Linked DNA regions of Rattus norvegicus. The protein of the gene in region 2 interacts with the protein of the main gene of each other region in a pairwise test. Links are inferred from orthologs where the notes say so. Each region holds a gene or a part of one and is shown on either strand. Other genes may lie near its edges. The genes, in order: Ribc2 and Rad54b.

Region 1 (4,577 bases), on a different chromosome or scaffold from region 2:
TGGTTATATAAACAGTACAAGCATAAACACATTGGAAATGCACACTTCTGTAGAAGAAAAAAAAGGGGGAAATTGTAACGGGGCACTTGTGCTATATACAACACAGTTCTCAGAATGAATTTTTTTTTTAAATATGGAACGCTTCGCGAATTTGCGTGTCATCCTTGTGCAGGGCCCATGCTAATCTCTGTATCGTTCCAATGTTAGTTAAATTGGTGCTGCTGAAGCAAGCACCAGAATGAATTCTTAAAGGAGAATACCAGAGGCCTAGTGGCAGCTGCATGTGTCTGTTATGTTGGTGTTTGAATTACTTTACAAATCAAAATAAACAAGGCTGAAAAGTTTGGAAAATGTATAATAGTATAAAAAAATGGCAATTTCCCTCATAGTCCAACTATTCCGACATTAACCGCTGACAACGGATTCTGTCTTTTTCTAATCATGCTTTAAGACGTAAGTTGGTGGCCCATTTGTCTCTAAAAATTTGTATGTCCAGTTTTTTTATATTTAAAAGCCCCTATGGTATTTTTAAAAAAGCCAAATGTTCAACAGTTGGTGAAATTGCTGGCCAAGAAAGGAAGACTGGATTCTGTTAGGAATTTTGATCTAGGACCTAGGACACGAATTGAGCCATGTAAATCACCCAGATGGTTCAGAACTTAAAACTCAAAGCTGCTTTTTCTTGACAGGAAGAAAATGCCCACTTAGTTAACCGAGCACAAGGAAGTGTGAAATTTTAAAAGAAAGACAGTGAAAATGATAACCACGTGTGTATGAGTGTGCAATCGAACACGTATGTGCATGAGCGGGTATATGTGTGTGCATTCATTCGTGCTCCAGCATTGCAAGTGTCACTTGATATCAGCAGCTGTCCTCCCTAGGCCAGTGTTAAGTTTTGAAGCAGAGAATGGGTACATATGTACTTAAAGCTTTTCCTTTTTAGAGAAAAAAAATTAAAGAAAACACAAAACAATCCTAACTTTATTTAAAACATGTCTCCTAAGATGTACATTAAAATTCAATAACTTCTTTTTCTTGAGAGGAAGGATATGCTTATTAAGTTAACTGAGCACAAGAAATCACAAAATTTTAAAAGGAGAAAGACCATAAAAATGATAACTCTGGGGGTTGGGGATTTAGCTCAGTGGTAGAGCGCTTGCCTAGCAAGCGCAAGGCCCTGGGTTCCATCCCCAGCTCCGAAAAAAAATGATAACTCTGTGTATGTGCTCACACCTGTGCGTGAGTGTGTGCTTGAGTGCATGAGTGTGTGTGTGTGTGCGTGTGCACGGGCTCCTGTGTGTGCACTCATGAACAGTCAGGCCACTGAGTCCCAGGGCCCAGGAGACACAAAGCAGATGCCATGGTTTTCTCAATCATGGAAAAAGAAAGACATGAGGCCCTAAGATAGATGGGCCTTTTAGAAATGCTCACCAAAGGTTTCATCCCTAGCTTTTTCAGTTACTTCTTTTATCTTCTGGTTACGAACTTGAACATCCCAGGCTTGTGTGTCTCCCTAGGAATGTTAAAGGGAAGAGAGGTTAGAGCCAGCTATCGGTATTCAGTAGGCCACGACTCTCCCCACCCCACCCCGTCCCCAACATTGTTTTTTTGTTTGTTTGTTTGTTTTTCTCCATCTTTATTAAATTGGGTATTTCTTATTTACATTTCAATTGTTGTTCCCTTTCCTGGTTTCTAGGCCCACATCCCCCTCCCCCTCCCCTTCTCTATGGGTGTTCCCCTCCCCATCCTCCCCCCATTACCGCCCTCCCCCCAACAATCCCATTCACTGGGGGTTCAGTCTTGGCAGGACCAAAGGCTTCCCCTTCCACTGGTGCCCTTACTAGGCTATTCATTGCTACCTATGCAGTTGGAGCCCAGGGTCAGTCCACTTATAGTCTTTGGGTAGTGGCTTAGTCCGTGGAAGCTCTGGTTGGTTGGCATTGTTGTTCATATGGGGTCTTAAGCCCCTTCAAGCTCTTTCAGTCCTTTCTCTGATTCCTTCAACGGGGGTCCCGTTCTCAGTTCAGTGGTTTGCTGCTGGCATTGCCTATGTATTTGCCATATTCTGTCTGTGTCTCTCAGGAGAGATCTACATCCGGTTCCTGTCAGCCTGCACTTCTTTGCTTCATCCATCTTATCTAATTGGGTGGCTGTATATGTATGGGCCACATGTGGGGCAGGCACTGAATGGGTGTTCCTTCAACCTCTGTTCTAAACTTTGCCTCCCTATTCTCTCCCAAGGGTATTCTTGTTCCTCTTTTAAAGAAGGAGTGAAGCATCCGCATTTTGGTCATCCTTCTTGAGTTTTATGTGTTCTGTGCATCTAGGGTAATTCGAGCATTTGGGCTAATATCCACTTATCAATGTTTAAATAACACTCCTCTGTGAAGCCCTCTCTGTTTCCCCTCCAGGCTCCAGTCGGTGCTGGTGTGGATCCCACTGCATTTTCTGTGTTTTAAAGTCTGTCTCTTTCACAGTAGTGAAAGGTCTCTCACTTCCTGGACCCAGGGCATTTGTCACCTGGGGAACTGGCTCCTGCTGGGCCATTCCTGAGCAGGTAAGGATTTCCAAGTCCACCCGGCCAAACTTGGTGCTTTCAAATAAAGGCTCCATCAGAGCCTTGGCTCCTCTCTGTCCCGTTCCAAGTGTCTCACCCCAATGATCCTGTTTCTGGCGTCGAAGATCTGTCCCTGCCTGCACAGGTCCATGTACCGCTTCTTGGCTAGGCTGGCCTCCTGTTGTAGGTCTTTAGGAATTGCTACCTCCATGGCTCTGGAGTTTGGCAAGGCTTCAGGGGCTTTCTGAACAAACACGGTAAGAAAAGCCCACAGAAATAAGCTACAGCGCCGAGAAGCAGCGCCCACAAAAGTTTGAGAGCAAGTCTGTCCCAGCGGACACAGGCAGTCCGCTTTCCGCAACGATCTTTGTGGCGCAGGAATCGGATTCCCCGGGAGACGCCAACCTCGGTTGCTAAGCAACGGCGCCTCGCTCGCTCGCGCCAGTCTCGCGAGACTTAGAAAAATTCTTCCCGCGCTTTTCTCACGGGCGCACGAGGGAGCGGCTGAGGCACGGAGCGCAGCCATGGGGCACCTTGAGTTGCTGCTCGTGGAGAATTTCAAGTCGTGGCGAGGCCGCCAGGTCATCGGCCCTTTCAAGAGGTTCACCTGTATCATCGGCCCCAACGGCTCGGGTAACCAGCACCCCAGAAATCCGCGGCCTCGGGGATCCACGGGCCACAGTCGCCCGCTGTAGACCTGAGGGGACCCAGGGACCTACTCTCGCCTGTTGTTGGCCTGAGGAGACCGAGCCACCCCCAGCCCCCATTGTCGTCTCCTGTGGGTCTGCGGGGACCGAGACCACAAACCCCAACTCCGTTGTTGCCGTTGTAGTCCGGAGAGGAGCCAGGCCCTCTGTAGGCCTTAGGGGACCCAGGGTCCCATGTTAGACTGAGGGGGCTCGCTGTCGGCCTGAGGAAACCCGGGGGCCTGTCCTCACCCACTGTTAGCCTGAGGGGACCGAGGCAACTCCAGGGCCTCGCTGTTGCCTGCTGACTGCCCCCTTCCTGCTCCTACTCCACTGTTGACTGTTGTAGGCTCAAGGGAACCCAAGGACCTTTTGTTGGTCTGAGGGGACGGAGCTACCCCAGTCCCTGCTGTTGACTGCTGTAGGCCTGAGGGACCCACTGTTGGTCTGAGGGAACCAAACCCTGTCCCCAGCCCAGTCAGTCCGTCTGTAACCCTCCTCCACCTCCCCACGCTCCCCATCTATCTGAGGGGATCCAGGGGCCTCTGTAACCCCATTGTTGGCCTGAGGGGACCGAGCACCTATTCCCCCCAGCCCATCCACGCCCTCTCCTTCACCCGCTGTAGGCCTAAATGGGACCCAAGGGCCTGAGGGCCCACTGGCCTGAGGATTCAGTGTTTGCTAATGGACTATGCCCAAGAGCCCAGAATCCTGGGCCACCAACCCTTGCTGGCTGTCCTCATCCCCCCTTGGCCCTCCTGCCCTGTAGTCCCGTGTCTCGTAACCCCCCCCCCCCAATCCCATCTCAGCCCAACAGCAGCAAGTACTAAGAATGAAATGGATTTGTCCTTTGTTGGAAAAAAAAAGCACTTGTAACCCAAACATAGATCCTAATTTAGAGCCTAAACGTTAATTTCTGGAATAGTTTTCCTAGTGCTGTGTTTAAATCATTCACTGCAGATGTCTTCAGTCTGAGCACTTAAAAGTTTTTTAGTTTTGATAGAACAGATTCATCTTTAATATTCATTATATAGCAAATCTACCATTGGGTGAAGATCTCCACGACTACCCTGTGGTTTAATGATTTGCTAAGAGATCTTTCAGTGTTTGATTTATTGTTTACTCAAGGTTATTATGCATTACAGTTGAGAGGTATAAAGCAAACTCAGCAGTGGGAAAAGATAAATTCCTTCAGCAGTAAGTTCTCATGTTGAAATGTCACCTACCAAAGAATCTCATGGACACTCAGTGCACAGGGAGATGGCCATGCCCTTTTCTAGCACATACCAAAATTCCAGACTCCTAGAAGGAAGCACATATTTAATCCTAGTCAT
Region 2 (4,251 bases):
CTAAAGTAAGCAGGTAGCTACCTTGGCAACCCAGATAACTTCAGTGAATGTTCTATCATTAGCTTCGATTTCCTTTTTTTTTTTTTTTTTTTTTTTGCCTTGCTTAAATCTGAACGATACTGTTTTTGAGCTGAACTCAGAGTGACAGAGAAAATTGGTTTCCCATAAAATTAGTTTCCCTTACAGCCCGTTGGGTTTACTCTGTCCCTAGCTAAACTCTTGTTAATACTCTCAGCTGCATCCTGGGCCATGGTCAAGAGAGGACATGTGGAAGAATGGATATGATTTTCTGACAGCCCGTAGAAAAGGAGGCACCATAGCAACTGCTGAGTAGAGGCAGCAGACAACAACTTCCCCCACCTAGAGCAGCCAGAGGGGACTCCACTCAGGTGAAGCTGGGATTCTTGATTTGTCATAGAAAATAATTTCAGAAGTCAGTCTGAAGCCAAGTTTTAGTTTATTAAGGGATCTTAACATAGATTTAAGCAAGTCTTTAATTGAAATAGTAGCTGTTAGGGACATAAGTGTGGGTGTGGACATCTCAAGAGAAAAATATGCGAGGCTGGTGGCTTCTGAAGTTACACTGATCAAAGGTTTCTAAAAACCTGTGTTTTTGGAGGAAGGGTTTACTTAAGTTTTATGTGTATAGGTGTTTTGCGGGCATTTATGTTGGTGCCCTACATGTGTGCAGTGTTCGAAGAGGCCAGAACAGGGTGCTTTTTAATTTTGGTCAAACTTGTATAAAATCCAGCGAATGACCTTTAAACACTCTCTTTTCAAACGTATCTAACTCCAACTCCAGATTTTTTTAGGGCAGAAAGATTGGTGTTATTGTAGCATTTGGAAGTTCTTTTGGGTAATGCTTTGAATGATACCACGACCTTGTCTACGATACTTTATAAATAGTGTTTTTTTTTTAAATCAAAAGGAGCCTTTCTCTTTTTCACGAGATTCCATAATCACGCATTTGTTTTTCTACTCCTAGAACTTAAAAGGGCTTGTAAAAGATTCTGCAATTACTACTCAGTGTCACTTAAATAACAGGATTTCATGTACCTCAGTGATGCACACACTTCTACGATCCGAATCATAATTTACTGATTTAAGTTGTGAGGTTTGTCGCTTCAGCTAGAATCTGAAGACTGGAACCAAACCCATAGGTTTTGGATCTAAGCAGTCAACCGGAACCAACCCTAGATGCAAGTAAAAGGAAGTGCAAAGGTTCCAGAGTTCCGACAGTCGTCCAATCAGAGTCGGGGGACGGAACCGGCGTGGTGGTGCGCATGCCCGGCGCCGGGTCGGCGGTTGGCTGTATGAAGGCGGGAAGCTCGAGCTGGCCGGCCTAAGGCATTGCTACTTGCTGCCGGGTGCTCGCGGTTTCAGTCAGCTTGCCGGGTAAGTCTCTGCCGCGGAGACCCGGGGTGGCGCGTGCGGTGCCTGGTGAAGGATGGCGCAGGTCCTGGGAGAGCGGGGCGGCCAGAGCCCGGGCGCTGGCTGGCTTGGGGCGGGACAGGGGGCGGGTCCTGCGGGGTCGCGGGGGCCGGGGCCCGCGAAGCCGCCTGGGGCCTGAGAACAGCAGGTGTCAGCCAAGGGGTTGTAGAACTATCCAGCGCCTTTCCTAGACGATGCACTTACCGACTGGTTCTCTCTGCTCCCTGCTTCCAAAAACAAACAAACAAACAAACCATTTACATTAATTATGGAGGATTTTGTAGGAAGGTGGACTGGAGTCCCGAAGCCTAAGGAGAATTTACAGTTTGAAATGGAAATCTTTGGCTACAAGCCAGAAAGCTGAAACAGCAAGGGAGGTCTTTTGCTGGCTGGTGGGGTTTTATTTATTTTCTAGCATCCTAGAGTTTGCCACACCCTTTCCTCAGTGAAGTCCAGAGGAAGGCAGAGATTCTGGCTACGATCCTGTAGGCAGAACTACATCCCTCTGTCTTTCCCTTTCATGGGACCTTTGTTGTTTCTACTTTCTACTTTCTTAGGATTTTGTGGATTAAACAGGCAACAGTAATTATAAGTAATAATATTACAGAAAGTATTGAGTACTGTGCACCAAGCTTTGCTCTAAATTCTTAAAATATTTCATCTCACGGTTGCATAGTTGTATGCTTAAGTGTGATTAAGAGTGATTAAGACACAGGAGAAAACACATGCATTTAAGCTAACTGCAGAATCACCTGCTGGGAAAGTCATTGGTGCACAGTAATTAAGGCACACACGATGTGTTCCTGATCTCAGCCTAGTCTGGTCGTTTTCCTGGGGTGACCTTATCTTAGCCAAAGATTCAGTCAGGTGCACGAAATCCTAGCATTTCAGTAGAGATGCCAAGTGGCTTTATTTCTAGGGCGTGTAAAAAAGGTCTCCGCAAAACTAGTTTACAAACCAGCTACAGCCTGGCAGGAGATAGAAGATCTCAAGTTCAAAGCCAGTCTGGGACCTACAGAGAGCCCTTGTCTCAGAAAACAAAACAAACTAGTAAAGATGTCAGTATTTGTGGGGAAATAAACTGATTTCTGTAGTTTACTTTAAAATGCACCAACAGATTAGATCAACAGACCACCAGTTTCATAATTTGATTTAAGATTTTGCTAGTAATGATGGTTTGTATTTGAAGGAACCACAGAGCACGACCTCCACCCAAATCTTTTAAACTAGTAAAAACTGACATCAAACAGTTAACGTATTTCACTTTAACATTAATGAAGCTGAATGTCCAGCTATCAATGCAACGATGGACTGTTTTTGAATATAAGAAATAATGGTATATTTGAAAATTGGTGGCATTTCAGATATAACAAAATATGATAAATTTAACCAGTCTAGTTTATTATAAAGATAACATCATCTTTGTGGGAAATTTGAAATTTGTAAAGAACTCAGAATAAAATCACTTGTTATTTCTAACATGTAGAGATAATAAGTGTTTTCATGTCATAGGTGCTAGTCTTATCATGAAATTCATTTATATTTCTTAAAATTTTATTTGTATTTATCTATTTGTGTGTGTGTGTGTGTCTGTGTGTGTGTGTGTGTGTTTCAAGACAGGGTTTCTCTTTGTAGCCTTGCCTATCCTGGAACTAGCCCTGTAGACCAGGCTAGCCTAGAACTCACAGAAATCCCCCTGCCTCTGCCTTCTGTGTGCTGGGATTAAACTAGTGTACCACTGCTGCCACCGCCACCTGGCTTGGATTTCTATTTTTAGATCAATTTCTAACAAACTTCTTTTTGGAGTGGGAAACAATGGGGCAGTTTTATTGCCGCATGAAGAGTGCCTGGGGAGTGGACATATTCGAGGGGCCTAAGCTGTTAGTTGGGACATGCGGAGTGCTCCTAAGGATAAGGTAGAATTAAAGAAAAAAGCGTCCCAGCTTCATCAGAGGAAAGAGTGGTCAGAGTCTAGAGGAAAAGAGAACTCGTCTAGGTGGAGGAGCCGACTCAGAATGTTAGGAGCTCGTGGAGACTGTTCCATTGTGAACATGGGTGGATGATTTATCCATCTAGTGCTGTTATGGATAAGTGGCTCTTTTTTTTTTTTTTTGCTATAAGTGGTACTAAAGTACTTGTACATAATCATTTAAGCATATTTTTGATACTTCTTTATAAAAAGAGTCAAATTTCTGAGTTAACCAAATGATTTTGGTAACTATGTATATGCTGGGCAGTGTTTTGTAAAATTGCAGCGAAGACTAGCTGCTCCCAGCTTGCGCTCACTGGAGCGCTCGCGCTCTCGCTCTCTCTCTCTCTCTCTCTCCCTCTCCCCCTCTCTCTCTCTCCCTCTCCCCCTCTCCCTCTCCCTCTCCCCCCTCTCCCTCTCCCTCTCTCTCTCTCTCTCTCTCCCTCTCCCCCTCCCTCTCCCCCTCCCTCTCCCCCTCTCCCCCTCTCCCCCTCTCCCCCTCTCCCTCTCCCCCTGTCTCCCTCTCCCCCTCCCCCCCCCCTCTCTCTGAGGTCCAAGAATCCATTGGTTGTTCAGTCCATGGCTGGATGTCTCAGCTGGTCTTCAGTGTATGCTGAGTACACCGGAATGCCAGTGAAGGGATGAACTAACCAGGGAGAGAGGGGGAGGGGGAGGGGGAGAGCCGGCACAAAGAGCAAACTTCCTTCTTAGACCTGGATTAAAGGTGTATCTTCCCACTTCAAAATATCAAGATTAAATGTGGGTCTTCCTATGTCCCATGATTTAATTAAGGAAAAAACCTCTCACAGTTGTACCAGCCACTTGGCTTTCAGTTAATTCTAGATGTAGTT

Evidence for each region.
Region 1: the proteins of Rad54b (region 2) and Ribc2 interact in a two-hybrid assay, tested with the Homo sapiens proteins (2 studies listed by BioGRID and IntAct). The two-hybrid records come from large-scale screens. The link is inferred for Rattus norvegicus from reciprocal best matches to the Homo sapiens genes RAD54B and RIBC2.

What each region holds. Positions count from the first base shown.
Region 1 is NC_086025.1:118,121,130-118,125,706, reverse strand, and holds the start of Ribc2 (RIB43A-like with coiled-coils protein 2), read right to left. Parts: upstream 2,941-4,577; 5' UTR 2,769-2,940; coding exon 2,655-2,768; intron 1,514-2,654; coding exon 1,432-1,513; intron 231-1,431; exon of another isoform or gene 128-230; intron 1-127. Other genes in the region: Smc1b (structural maintenance of chromosomes protein 1B), read left to right, coding at 3,082-3,190. UniProt on the Homo sapiens protein: Microtubule inner protein (MIP) part of the dynein-decorated doublet microtubules (DMTs) in cilia axoneme, which is required for motile cilia beating.
Region 2 is NC_086023.1:29,828,154-29,832,404, forward strand, and holds the start of Rad54b (fibrinogen silencer-binding protein), read left to right. Parts: upstream 1-1,311; 5' UTR 1,312-1,395; intron 1,396-4,204; exon of another isoform or gene 4,205-4,251. UniProt on the Homo sapiens protein: Involved in DNA repair and mitotic recombination. May play an active role in recombination processes in concert with other members of the RAD52 epistasis group.